Alligator mississippiensis: one gene and its partners. Each later gene encodes a partner of the first gene's protein in a complex. Links are inferred from orthologs where the notes say so. Each region holds a gene or a part of one and is shown on either strand. Other genes may lie near its edges. The genes, in order: TAF3, TAF13 and TAF10.

Region 1 (3,745 bases):
ACACACACACACACACACACGGGCACCCTCAACCCCATCCCCTCCTCCCCACACACACACACACGGGCACCCTCAACCCCATCCCCTCCTCCCCACACACACACACACACACACACACGGGCACCCTCAACCCCATCCCCTCCTCCCCACACACACACACACACACACGGGCACCCTCAACCCCATCCCCTCCTCCCCACACACACACACACACACACGGGCACCCTCAACCCCATCCCCTCCTCCCCACACACACACACACACACACACACACGGGCACCCTCAACCCCATCCCCTCCTCCCCACACACACACACACACACACACAGGCACCCTCAATCCCATTCCCTCCTCCCCACACACACACACGGGCACCCTCAACCCCATCCCCTCCTCCCCACACACACACACACACACACACACACACACACACGGGCACCCTCAACCCCATCCCCTCCTCCCCACACACACACACACGGGCACCCTCAACCCCATCCCCTCCTCCCCACACACACACACACACACACACGGGCACCCTCAACCCCATCCCCTCCTCCCCACACACACACACACACACACACACACACACACGGGCACCCTCAACCCCATCCCCTCCTCCCCACACACACACACACACACACACACACACGGGCACCCTCAACCCCATCCCCTCCTCCCCACACACACACACACACACACAGGCACCCTCAATCCCATTCCCTCCTCCCCACACACACACACACGGGCACCCTCAACCCCATCCCCTCCTCCCCACACACACACACACACACACACACACACACACACGGGCACCCTCAACCCCATCCCCTCCTCCCCACACACACACACACACGGGCACCCTCAACCCCATCCCCTCCTCCCCACACACACACACACACACACACGGGCACCCTCAACCCCATCCCCTCCTCCCCACACACACACACACACACACACACACACACGGGCACCCTCAACCCCATCCCCTCCTCCCCACACACACACACACACACACACACACACACGGGCACCCTCAACCCCATCCCCTCCTCCCCACACACACACACACACACACAGGCACCCTCAATCCCATTCCCTCCTCCCCACACACACACACGGGCACCCTCAACCCCATCCCCTCCTCCCCACACACACACACGGGCACCCTCAACCCCATCCCCTCCTCCCCACACACACACACACACGGGCACCCTCAACCCCATCCCCTCCTCCCCACACACACACACACACACACACACACGGGCACCCTCAATCCCATCCCCTCCTCCCCACACACACACACACACACACACACACGGGCACCCTCAACCCCATCCCCTCCTCCCCACACACACACACACACACACACACCCTCAACCCCATCCCCTCCTCCCCACACACACACACACGGGCACCCTCAACCCCATCCCCTCCTCCCCACACACACACACACACACACACACACACGGGCACCCTCAATCCCATCCCCTCCTCCCCACACACACACACACACACACACACACGGGCACCCTCAACCCCATCCCCTCCTCCCCACACACACACACACACACACACACACACACACACCCTCAACCCCATCCCCTCCTCCCCACACACACACACACGGGCACCCTCAACCCCATCCCCTCCTCCCCACACACACACACACACACACACACACACACGGGCACCCTCAATCCCATCCCCTCCTCCCCACACACACACACACACACACACACACACACGGGCACCCTCAACCCCATCCCCTCCTCCCCACACACACACACACACACACACACACACAGGCACCCTCAATCCCATTCCCTCCTCCCCACACACACACACGGGCACCCTCAACCCCATCCCCTCCTCCCCACACACACACACACACACACACACACACACCCTCAACCCCATCCCCTCCTCCCCACACACACACACACACGGGCACCCTCAACCCCATCCCCTCCTCCCCACACACACACACGGGCACCCTCAACCCCATCCCCTCCTCCCCACACACACACACACACACACACACACACACACACACACACGGGCACCCTCAATCCCATCCCCTCCTCCCCACACACACACACACACACACACAAAGGGCACCCTCAACCCCATCCCCTCCCCCCCCCACAGGGGCACCCTCAACCCCATCCCCTCCCCCCCCCCCCACACACACAAGGGGCACCCTCAACCCCAGCCTCTCCCCCCCCACACACAGGGGGCACCCTCAACCCCAGCCCCTCACACACACACACACACACACACACACACACACGGGCACCCCCCCGCGGGCCGGTGCGTGCCGGGCACTCACAGAGCTCGCAGTAGCGGTGGCAGCCGCGGCCCAGGCGCTGCAGGTATCGCTGCAGCACGTCGGTGAGCAGGTCGCAGGCCGAGAGCTGCACCGAGTCCCAGCCCAGCGCCTGGCAGATCTGCGCCACCGACACGCGCAGCAGCCACCGCGAGTAGCTCTCGCACATCCCGGCGGGGCGGGGCGGGGCTCAGCGCGGCCCGGGCGCGGCGCGGCCCGCCATGGCCATGACCCGGCGCGGCCGCCCCTCGCCTCACGCCCGGGCGCCGCGGGCCGCCAGCGCCGCCATCTTGGGGTCGCGCCTCCCGCCAGCCCGCGCGGCCGAGCGCCGAGCCAGCGCCTCCGCGGCGCATCCGTGGCTCCGGCATCGACTGCGCGGCCTGGCGAGCAGCCACGTGCGGCGCCGCGCCCTGCTCCCCGCTGCGAGCGCTGCGCGCGCCCGCCCCAGACTCTGCACCGTGGCTCGTTGTAGGCACCTTATCCTGCCTGACCTGACTACTGGTTTTTTTTCCAGCTGTAATAAAAAACAGATGATTTTTTTTTTTTGGGGGGGGGGGTTGTTTTGTCTGTCTTTTAATTTAATATCCCGCAAATATATATTAATATATTTAATATGCCGCCAAATTAGCCCAAATTATCAAATTCAAGAGTCAGTCCACAACCATAAGTGGCCCAACTACCAGCAAGCATGCAAAGAATCATATCTAACGACATTCTTAGACCCACACAGCTACACCCCCTGACCGTACCATTTACGCTCCCCTTCTCCACCTTTTGTCTTCCTAATTTCCAGCCATCAGGTAGAGAGGATATTATAATTATTGTTTCACAGACTGCCTCTCTTCTACCTGGCAGATGTCACCTGCCGCCGTCTTCCCCTGCTTACCTTTGGGACAGGGGGGTGGGTTGTAGCCGTTTTGGTCTAAGGACCTCGGCAAACCAGGTTCTTTGGGTAAATCCGATATCTTTTATTAGACCAACTGAATTAGTTGGAAAAATGGTTCTTTGCAAGTTTCCGGGTATAAACACCCTTCGTCAGGCTGAGGAAGCATCTGCAGTTGGTGCGTGCTCTTCCTGGAGGTGGTAGAAAATCTTCGGTGGTCTCTTTGGATAGATAGATAGACAGACAGAGAGAGAGATAGACAGACGTACAATATTAGGGAAGATGTCTGAATTGTTCTCTTTTAAGTGGTGATTTCCTTCCGCTGATTTCTGCAGTAGATTAGGTGAAAAAGGTGGTTTCTAATTTTCTCTGCAGTTTGCTTATCTTTGGCATTATTTCTCCCTCCTCCTCCCTTCCCTGCTCTACCCATTGTTTTCCTAATTTCCACCGATTTACATTCTCACTGACCTCCTGTCACACTTGTAGCTACTTTCATTCCTTGAAGATCTCAGAGCAGCTATGCCTGAAGAAGGCTGC
Region 2 (3,745 bases), on another chromosome or scaffold:
GGCAGTGCTAACATTGTGTGGCACCCGGAAAAGGATCCCCAGGCACCCGTGTGCTACAGCACCCTGCTTGAGAATCACTGCAGTAGATGAATGCAGGCAGGCCCCGAGAACTTCCCCTCAGGAGATGATCGAACTGAGGCCCTGCAGAGAAGTAACAAGTTTCTCAACTAGTATAACCCCTGCCTAAAAATCCTAGATGTAAATAACTGCATGAAAAAGGTGGCAAGTAGTAGCACAGCTCACAAGCCCGGCTTGAGAGGGAGAAAAAATGCTGTTGGGCCAAAGTTCACGTAGGACAGCAGGCCTGGAGTGCCTAGAAATGATCCCCAAAGGAGTCAGTCTCTTCCAAGCAGCGTGTTGTGAGTTCTCCCCTCTGCTCGTCCCTCCTTGGGCTGGGCAGAGGGAAGCAGGGAAAGGCAGAAGGCTGGTTTAGCATGTTTAAATAGATTTTCACATTCTTTCCCAGTCAAGCCTGAATACCTTGTTTTCCACTTGTAGTTTCTCATGGGCTCTTGTCTAACATGGAGCTGTAAAAGTGTAGTCTGACATTGTGGAGTACAAGCGAAGCTGAAGGGACCTCAATGTAGGCCAGCAACAGGCACTACGTAGGTGGGGAAAACTGCAGGGGTTGATAGTTCCCAACTCATGAGATTTGGCCTCTCTTTATAAGAGGCACAGCACAAGTACAGCCAATATATAATCTAATTTTTAAATATTTTATTAAAAAAAATATTATAAAATATTTTAAGTTTAGTTAAAATAATTACTTTTTAAAAGTTAAAAAAATTAAGATTAAAAATTATGTTTAAAAAATTTTAAAATTAAATTTAAAAAAATGAAAAAGCACGTGTCTGTGCGTGCGTGCGGCGACACCCACGCCGCCCCGGCCCAGCCCAGCCTTGAGACTGCTCCGCTGTCCAACAAGCCGTACACCGAATTGGCGGCGCTAGCCAGCAGAAACCGGAAGTTCCATGGGAGTCAACGGAAGCCTCACACTGATGGGACAAAGGACGGGGGTGGGAAGATTTCGAGCCAGCGTCCGTACGGCAAAATGGCCGCGCGGGGAAGCATAAACCGGAAGTGTGGTGTGCGTAAGCGGAAACGTCCATGGAAGGGACGAAGAAAGGGGCGGAGCCCCGGTTGTAGTTCCTTACGAAATCATGGCGGCCCCCATAGCATCACCCGGAAGCTCTGCAGGCTAGGTCGGAAGTGGCGCGCAGCAGGCGGGCCGGGCATCATGGCCGACGAGGAGGAGGACGCGCCGGTGAGTGAGTGAGACATCCACGGGGAAGTGTGGGGAGAATGCTCTGGGCATGCAGTAACCCCTCCCGCCCTTTACCATCCGCAGTTCGAGGAAGACGCGGAGGAGGCGGGTGGCGGCCTGGACGGCGGGCAGGGCAAGCGCAAACGCCTCTTCTCCAAGGAGCGTGAGTACTGGGGCGTTCGCATGCGCGGGGGTGGGGGGCAGTTGGCCCTGTCAAGCTTGAGGCCCCGGCAGATGGTAACTGCGCGTGCGTGGCGTTCTCCCTTCCGTTCCCTAGTGCGCTGCATGATGTACGGCTTCGGGGACGACCAGAACCCCTACACCGAGGCCGTGGACATCCTGGAGGACCTGGTCATCGAGTTCATCACGGAGATGGTGCGTCTGTGCTGGCCCTGCCTGCCCCCCCGGGGGGGAGGGTACCCCGTCTGGGCGCGTGGGCCACCCTGCTGCAGCCTTGCACAACAGTGGGGAACCTGGCTTGCCAAAAGGAGTCTCATGAGGTTCAACAAGGACAAGTGCAAAGTCTTGCACTTAGGACAGAACAATCCCATGCACCGGTACAGGCTGGGGGCTGACTGCCTGGGCAGCAGCTCTGCAGAAAAGAACCTGGGGGTTTCAGTGGACAATAAGCTGAATATGAGCCAGCAGTGTGTTCTTGCTGCCAAGGCTAACAGCATACTGTGCCGCATTGGTAGGTGTGCTGCCAGCAGGGTATGGGAAGTGATTATTCCCCTCTATTCAGCACTGGTGAGGCCACCTCTGGAGTACTGTCTCCTGTTTTGGGACCCTACTACAGAAAGGATGTGGACAAATTGGAGTGAGTCCAGTGGAGGGCAACAAAATGGTGAGGGGACTGGGGGACATGACTTCTGAACAGAGGGTAAAGGAACTGGGCTTATTTAGCCTGCAGAAGAGAAGACTGAAAGGGGATTTAATAGTAGCCTTCAACTACCTGAAGGTTGGTTCCAAAGAGGATGAAGCTGGACTCTCAGCTGGACTTCTCAGTGGTGGCAGATGACAGAACAAGGAGCAGTGGTCTCAAGTTGCAGCAAGGGAGGTTTACGTTGTGTATTAGGTAGAATTTTCATACTAGAAAGGTAGTAAAATACTGGAATGGGTTACTTAGAGAAGTGGTGGAATCTGTATCCTTGGAGGTTTTTAAGACTTGCCTAGACAAAGCCTTGGCTGAGATAATCTAGTTGGGGGTGGTCCTGCCTTGAGCAGGGTGTTGGACTAGATGACCTCCTGAGGTCCCTTCCAACCCTCATCTTCTATGATACTATTGCATTAGGCCCCTTGGGTTGGTGAGATGCAACCTGTGACCTCCTGAGGTCCCTCCCAACCCTAATTGTCTATGATTTTTCTGTGATTTCAAGAGCCTTACTACAGACAAGTTCCCAGCAGTTCACAGTCCAGCATAGTGACTGTGCTTCCAAGAGAGAAAAGAGACGTGTGCATTGCAGTCCATGTTAGTTTTAAACGATACCTTTTAAAGAAATAAAAGTGTACGCCTCCTATGATGCTGATTTTCAGCCAGGGTGCCGCAAAGCTCCCTTAAGGGTTGCTGCACAATATTAGCACTTAGGTGTGACAGCACGTACCTGTGGTTCATAAAATAAACCTGGAGACCCACGTTTTTGCCTTCCCCCTGTAGCAGTAGGCATGGCTCTCTTCCTGGGATCCCTTGAGCATATATTGACAGCATTGCATAGAAGCAGGACCTTGTCTGCCATGGTTCCTCTGCTTTACCTGTGGTAGGTTAGGACAGGCGTTGTCAACCGGGGGTACTTGGGAAGGCCCTAGGGGGTATGCACAAGCGAGCAGGGATGGAGTGCCACCACTTCCCAGGAACAGGGCCAGGGTGGGGTAAGGGCAGAAATGCCCCTCTGTGGGCTGCACAGGCACCAGTTGTACATGGGGCGGGGGGGTGGGGAAGATTACGCACAGCAGCCATCGCTGCCACCCACCAGGCCACACTGCTGTCACTCTGCATCTGGCCATGCACGCGCACCCTCCCCCCCCCCCCCCCCCAGTTCCATGTCCACCTGCCAGGGGTACACTTATTTAAAAAGGTTGAAACCCCCTGGGTTAGGATGTTAGGTCTGTATTGTGTCCTAGTTGATGGTAGTCTTACATAGATATTAGATTATGGTTTGGATGGGTTTGATCCTGCCTCAGGCAGGGGGTTAGACTAGATGACCTCTAGAGGTCTCTTCCAGCCCCACTTCTCTCTGACTATAGTCTGTGACTTTGTGACGTGCTACCCTGTTGGCTTTCTGAGTTGTTTGCAGCAGCAGACCAGCTTTGCTATTTTCTGTAGTCAAAACTTAGAGGTGGGGGACAGGTTTCAAATCCGGTGGTTCTCAACCTTTTTGGACTCAAGCTACCCCTTCATCACTTGTGTGAATTTGAATGGCACCCATTTCAAAAACTAATTTATATATTACAGTTCTTACCCTGCCCTCCCTCCCTCCCTCCCCC
Region 3 (2,557 bases), on another chromosome or scaffold:
ATTCCTTGCATCTACTGCTGTGGCCCTGCGGCTGGGCGAGACAACAGAGCCAGCTAGGGAAGTGGCAGGGGCAGCACTGCACGCTCTGGCCACAGTCTTCCTGTTCCAGCCCTGCGGTGAGTCCCTGAAACAGCCACTGGCCCTGCCCTGCAGCCCCTGAGCACAGAGGGATGTTGCAGCTGAGCTGCGGAAGGAGCAGCTGCCCAGCCATGCTCGCTGCAAACCGGCTGGTACCGGGCAGGGCTTGCAGCCCTCCCTGTGCTGCAGCAGTGCCCTGGCAGGGGCGGTGCAGCCCCTGCGCGACCTCCCAGCCTGTGTGCTCTCTCCCGGGGCAGATGCGGGGTGGAGGAAATAAAAGCATTTGGCCCTCATGTCTGTGTCTGTGTGCCTTGCAGGGGCGGGCATGGCTGGGGGGCCTGGTGGGGAGCAGCAGGGCCTGGCCTGGGCGGTCAAGAGGCCTGGAGTGCTGGGTGGGGGATCCCTGCCTGCTGGGGCAATAGCCCTACCGTGGCACACCAGCTCAGCGGCCCTGGGTGCAGGGTGCTGCTGAGGCCTGGCGGTGCCCCACCGTCTGCTCCGCGCATTGACTGGTTCTATTAGCTCTGGGGGGAGCTCCAGCTGTGCCCCTGGGGCCATCCCCAGCTCCAGCTGTGCCCCCGGGCCATCCCCCCCCCTCCAGCTCCAGCTGTGACCCGGCTCCCCGTGTTGCGTTCCCCCGACCGCCAGGGGTCGCCTCGCTGGCCCACGGCGCCGCTCTAGGCGCAGGCGTCTGTCTCGGTGGTGCGGCGCGCGCCGCTCTGCCCCAGCGCTCTATGGGCTGCGGGGCGGGGCCTGGGCCGGCCGCCCAATCAGCGCGCGGGGGGCGGGGCCCGGGCTGCGCGGCGGGCGGCCCGGCCAATGGGCGCGGCGGGCGCGCCCCGGAAGTACGCAGAGCCGGGCCGGCTCGGAGCGCGGCTGCGGGAGCGGGAGCGGGACCCGCCCGCCATGAGCGGCAGCGCCGAGCCCGACCCCGCGCCCGCGGCCCCCGCCGCCGACGGCAAGCCCAGCCCCGCCCCCGCGCCTGGCCCCGCCCCCGCGCCGGGCCTCGCCCCGCCCGCCGCCGCCGCCGGGGGGGCCGCCCCGGCCGGGGGGGGCGCGGGCGGCGCCAGGGGGCCCGGTGAGGGGCGGGGCGGGGCTCAGGGAGGGCAGGGGGCGTGGCGGGGCGCGAGGGGGCGGGGCTTGCAGGGGTTGTGGCGGGGCGGGGTGCGAGGTCCGCAGTGACTGACCCCCCCCCCGCCCCTCCCCGCAGTGCCCGGCCCCCCGGCGCCGGCGGAGGCGCTGCCCAACGGCGTGTACATGCCGCCCGGCGCGGCCAACGGCGACGTGAAGCCCGTGGTGTCGACCGCGCCCCTCGTGGACTTCCTCATGCAGCTGGAGGACTACACGCCCACCGTGAGCGCCGCGCCGCGCCGCGGCCGGGGGGCTCGCTCCGCGCCGCGCCGCGCCGCCTGACCCCCGCTCTCCCCTTGCAGATCCCGGACGCCGTCACGGGCTATTACCTCAACCGAGCCGGCTTCGAGGCGTCCGACCCGCGCATGTGAGTGCCCCCCCGTGGGCGCGGGGCCACGGCCCGGCACCGCGTCCCGACCTAACACCCCCTCCCCCGTGCCGCAGCATCCGCCTGATCTCGCTGGCCGCGCAGAAGTTCATCTCGGACATCGCCAACGACGCCCTGCAGCACTGCAAGATGAAGGGCACGGCCTCGGGCAGCTCCCGCAACAAGAGCAAGGTGAGGGGGGGCGCAGGCGCGGGCCCAGACCGCGCTGCTGCTGCTGCGAGGGGGGGGGCGCTGGGGCCGCGGGAGCATGACGCCGCCCGTCCCGCAGGACAAGAAGTACACGCTGACCATGGAGGACCTGACGCCGGCGCTCGCCGAGTACGGCATCAACGTGAAGAAGCCGCACTACTTCACCTAGCGCCTGCGCGCGCCGCGGGCCCGGGCAGAGGGGCGGGACCCCGTCTGTCATTAAACCGTGGACTTCGGGGTACTGGCTTCTCTGCGGTGCCGTCTGCCTCGCTCGCGCCTGACCCGGCGTCGGGCTTCGTCCGCGCCGCGGGGCACGGGAGCCGTGGGTGGGCGGAGCGGCCGCAGGATTTGGGGTCTGCATCTTTAGGGCCGGGCGGCCCTCGGCCCCTGCGCTGGGGGGGGCGCTCCCGACCCCAGCTGCTGCACCAGGACACCCATCCTCGTCCCAAGGGCCGGCGGCCACGGGGCGGACAGATCCTGCCGTTGCCGTGGTGGCTGAATGAGGAAGGGTGGAGAGACCGAGTATGGCTCAACACTTCCTGCAGGGCAGTCACGTGGCCCTGTGGCCCCGGGTCAGGCTGCTCCTCCTTGGGCAGGGCACCCCACCCACCCCCCGGCCCTGCATGGGCGCAGCGCCGCGCCCAGCCACGCGTGGCCCCTGGCACCCCACCACTCAGCCACTCGTGGTCTGCTTTTGTAACAAAGATTTATTCAGACGCTGGCAGTTTTCCCATGGAGCCTGGATGGAAACCATGACAAAGTGAAGCGCAA

What was found.
Region 2: TAF3 (region 1) and TAF13 share a complex: the UniProt entries of both Homo sapiens proteins name them as parts of the TFIID basal transcription factor complex. The link is inferred for Alligator mississippiensis from reciprocal best matches to the Homo sapiens genes TAF3 and TAF13.
Region 3: TAF3 (region 1) and TAF10 share a complex: the UniProt entries of both Homo sapiens proteins name them as parts of the TFIID basal transcription factor complex. The link is inferred for Alligator mississippiensis from reciprocal best matches to the Homo sapiens genes TAF3 and TAF10.

Annotation. Positions count from the first base shown.
Region 1 is NC_081827.1:10,624,368-10,628,112, reverse strand, and holds the start of TAF3 (transcription initiation factor TFIID subunit 3), read right to left. Parts: upstream 2,598-3,745; 5' UTR 2,495-2,597; coding exon 2,329-2,494; intron 1-2,328. UniProt on the Homo sapiens protein: The TFIID basal transcription factor complex plays a major role in the initiation of RNA polymerase II (Pol II)-dependent transcription.
Region 2 is NC_081824.1:247,514,040-247,517,784, forward strand, and holds the start of TAF13 (transcription initiation factor TFIID subunit 13), read left to right. Parts: upstream 1-1,174; 5' UTR 1,175-1,237; coding exon 1,238-1,264; intron 1,265-1,348; coding exon 1,349-1,427; intron 1,428-1,541; coding exon 1,542-1,639; intron 1,640-3,745. UniProt on the Homo sapiens protein: The TFIID basal transcription factor complex plays a major role in the initiation of RNA polymerase II (Pol II)-dependent transcription.
Region 3 is NC_081824.1:483,482,789-483,485,345, reverse strand, and holds TAF10 (transcription initiation factor TFIID subunit 10), read left to right. Parts: upstream 1-897; coding exon 898-1,156; intron 1,157-1,288; coding exon 1,289-1,431; intron 1,432-1,511; coding exon 1,512-1,576; intron 1,577-1,653; coding exon 1,654-1,768; intron 1,769-1,865; coding exon 1,866-1,955; 3' UTR 1,956-2,027; downstream 2,028-2,557. UniProt on the Homo sapiens protein: The TFIID basal transcription factor complex plays a major role in the initiation of RNA polymerase II (Pol II)-dependent transcription.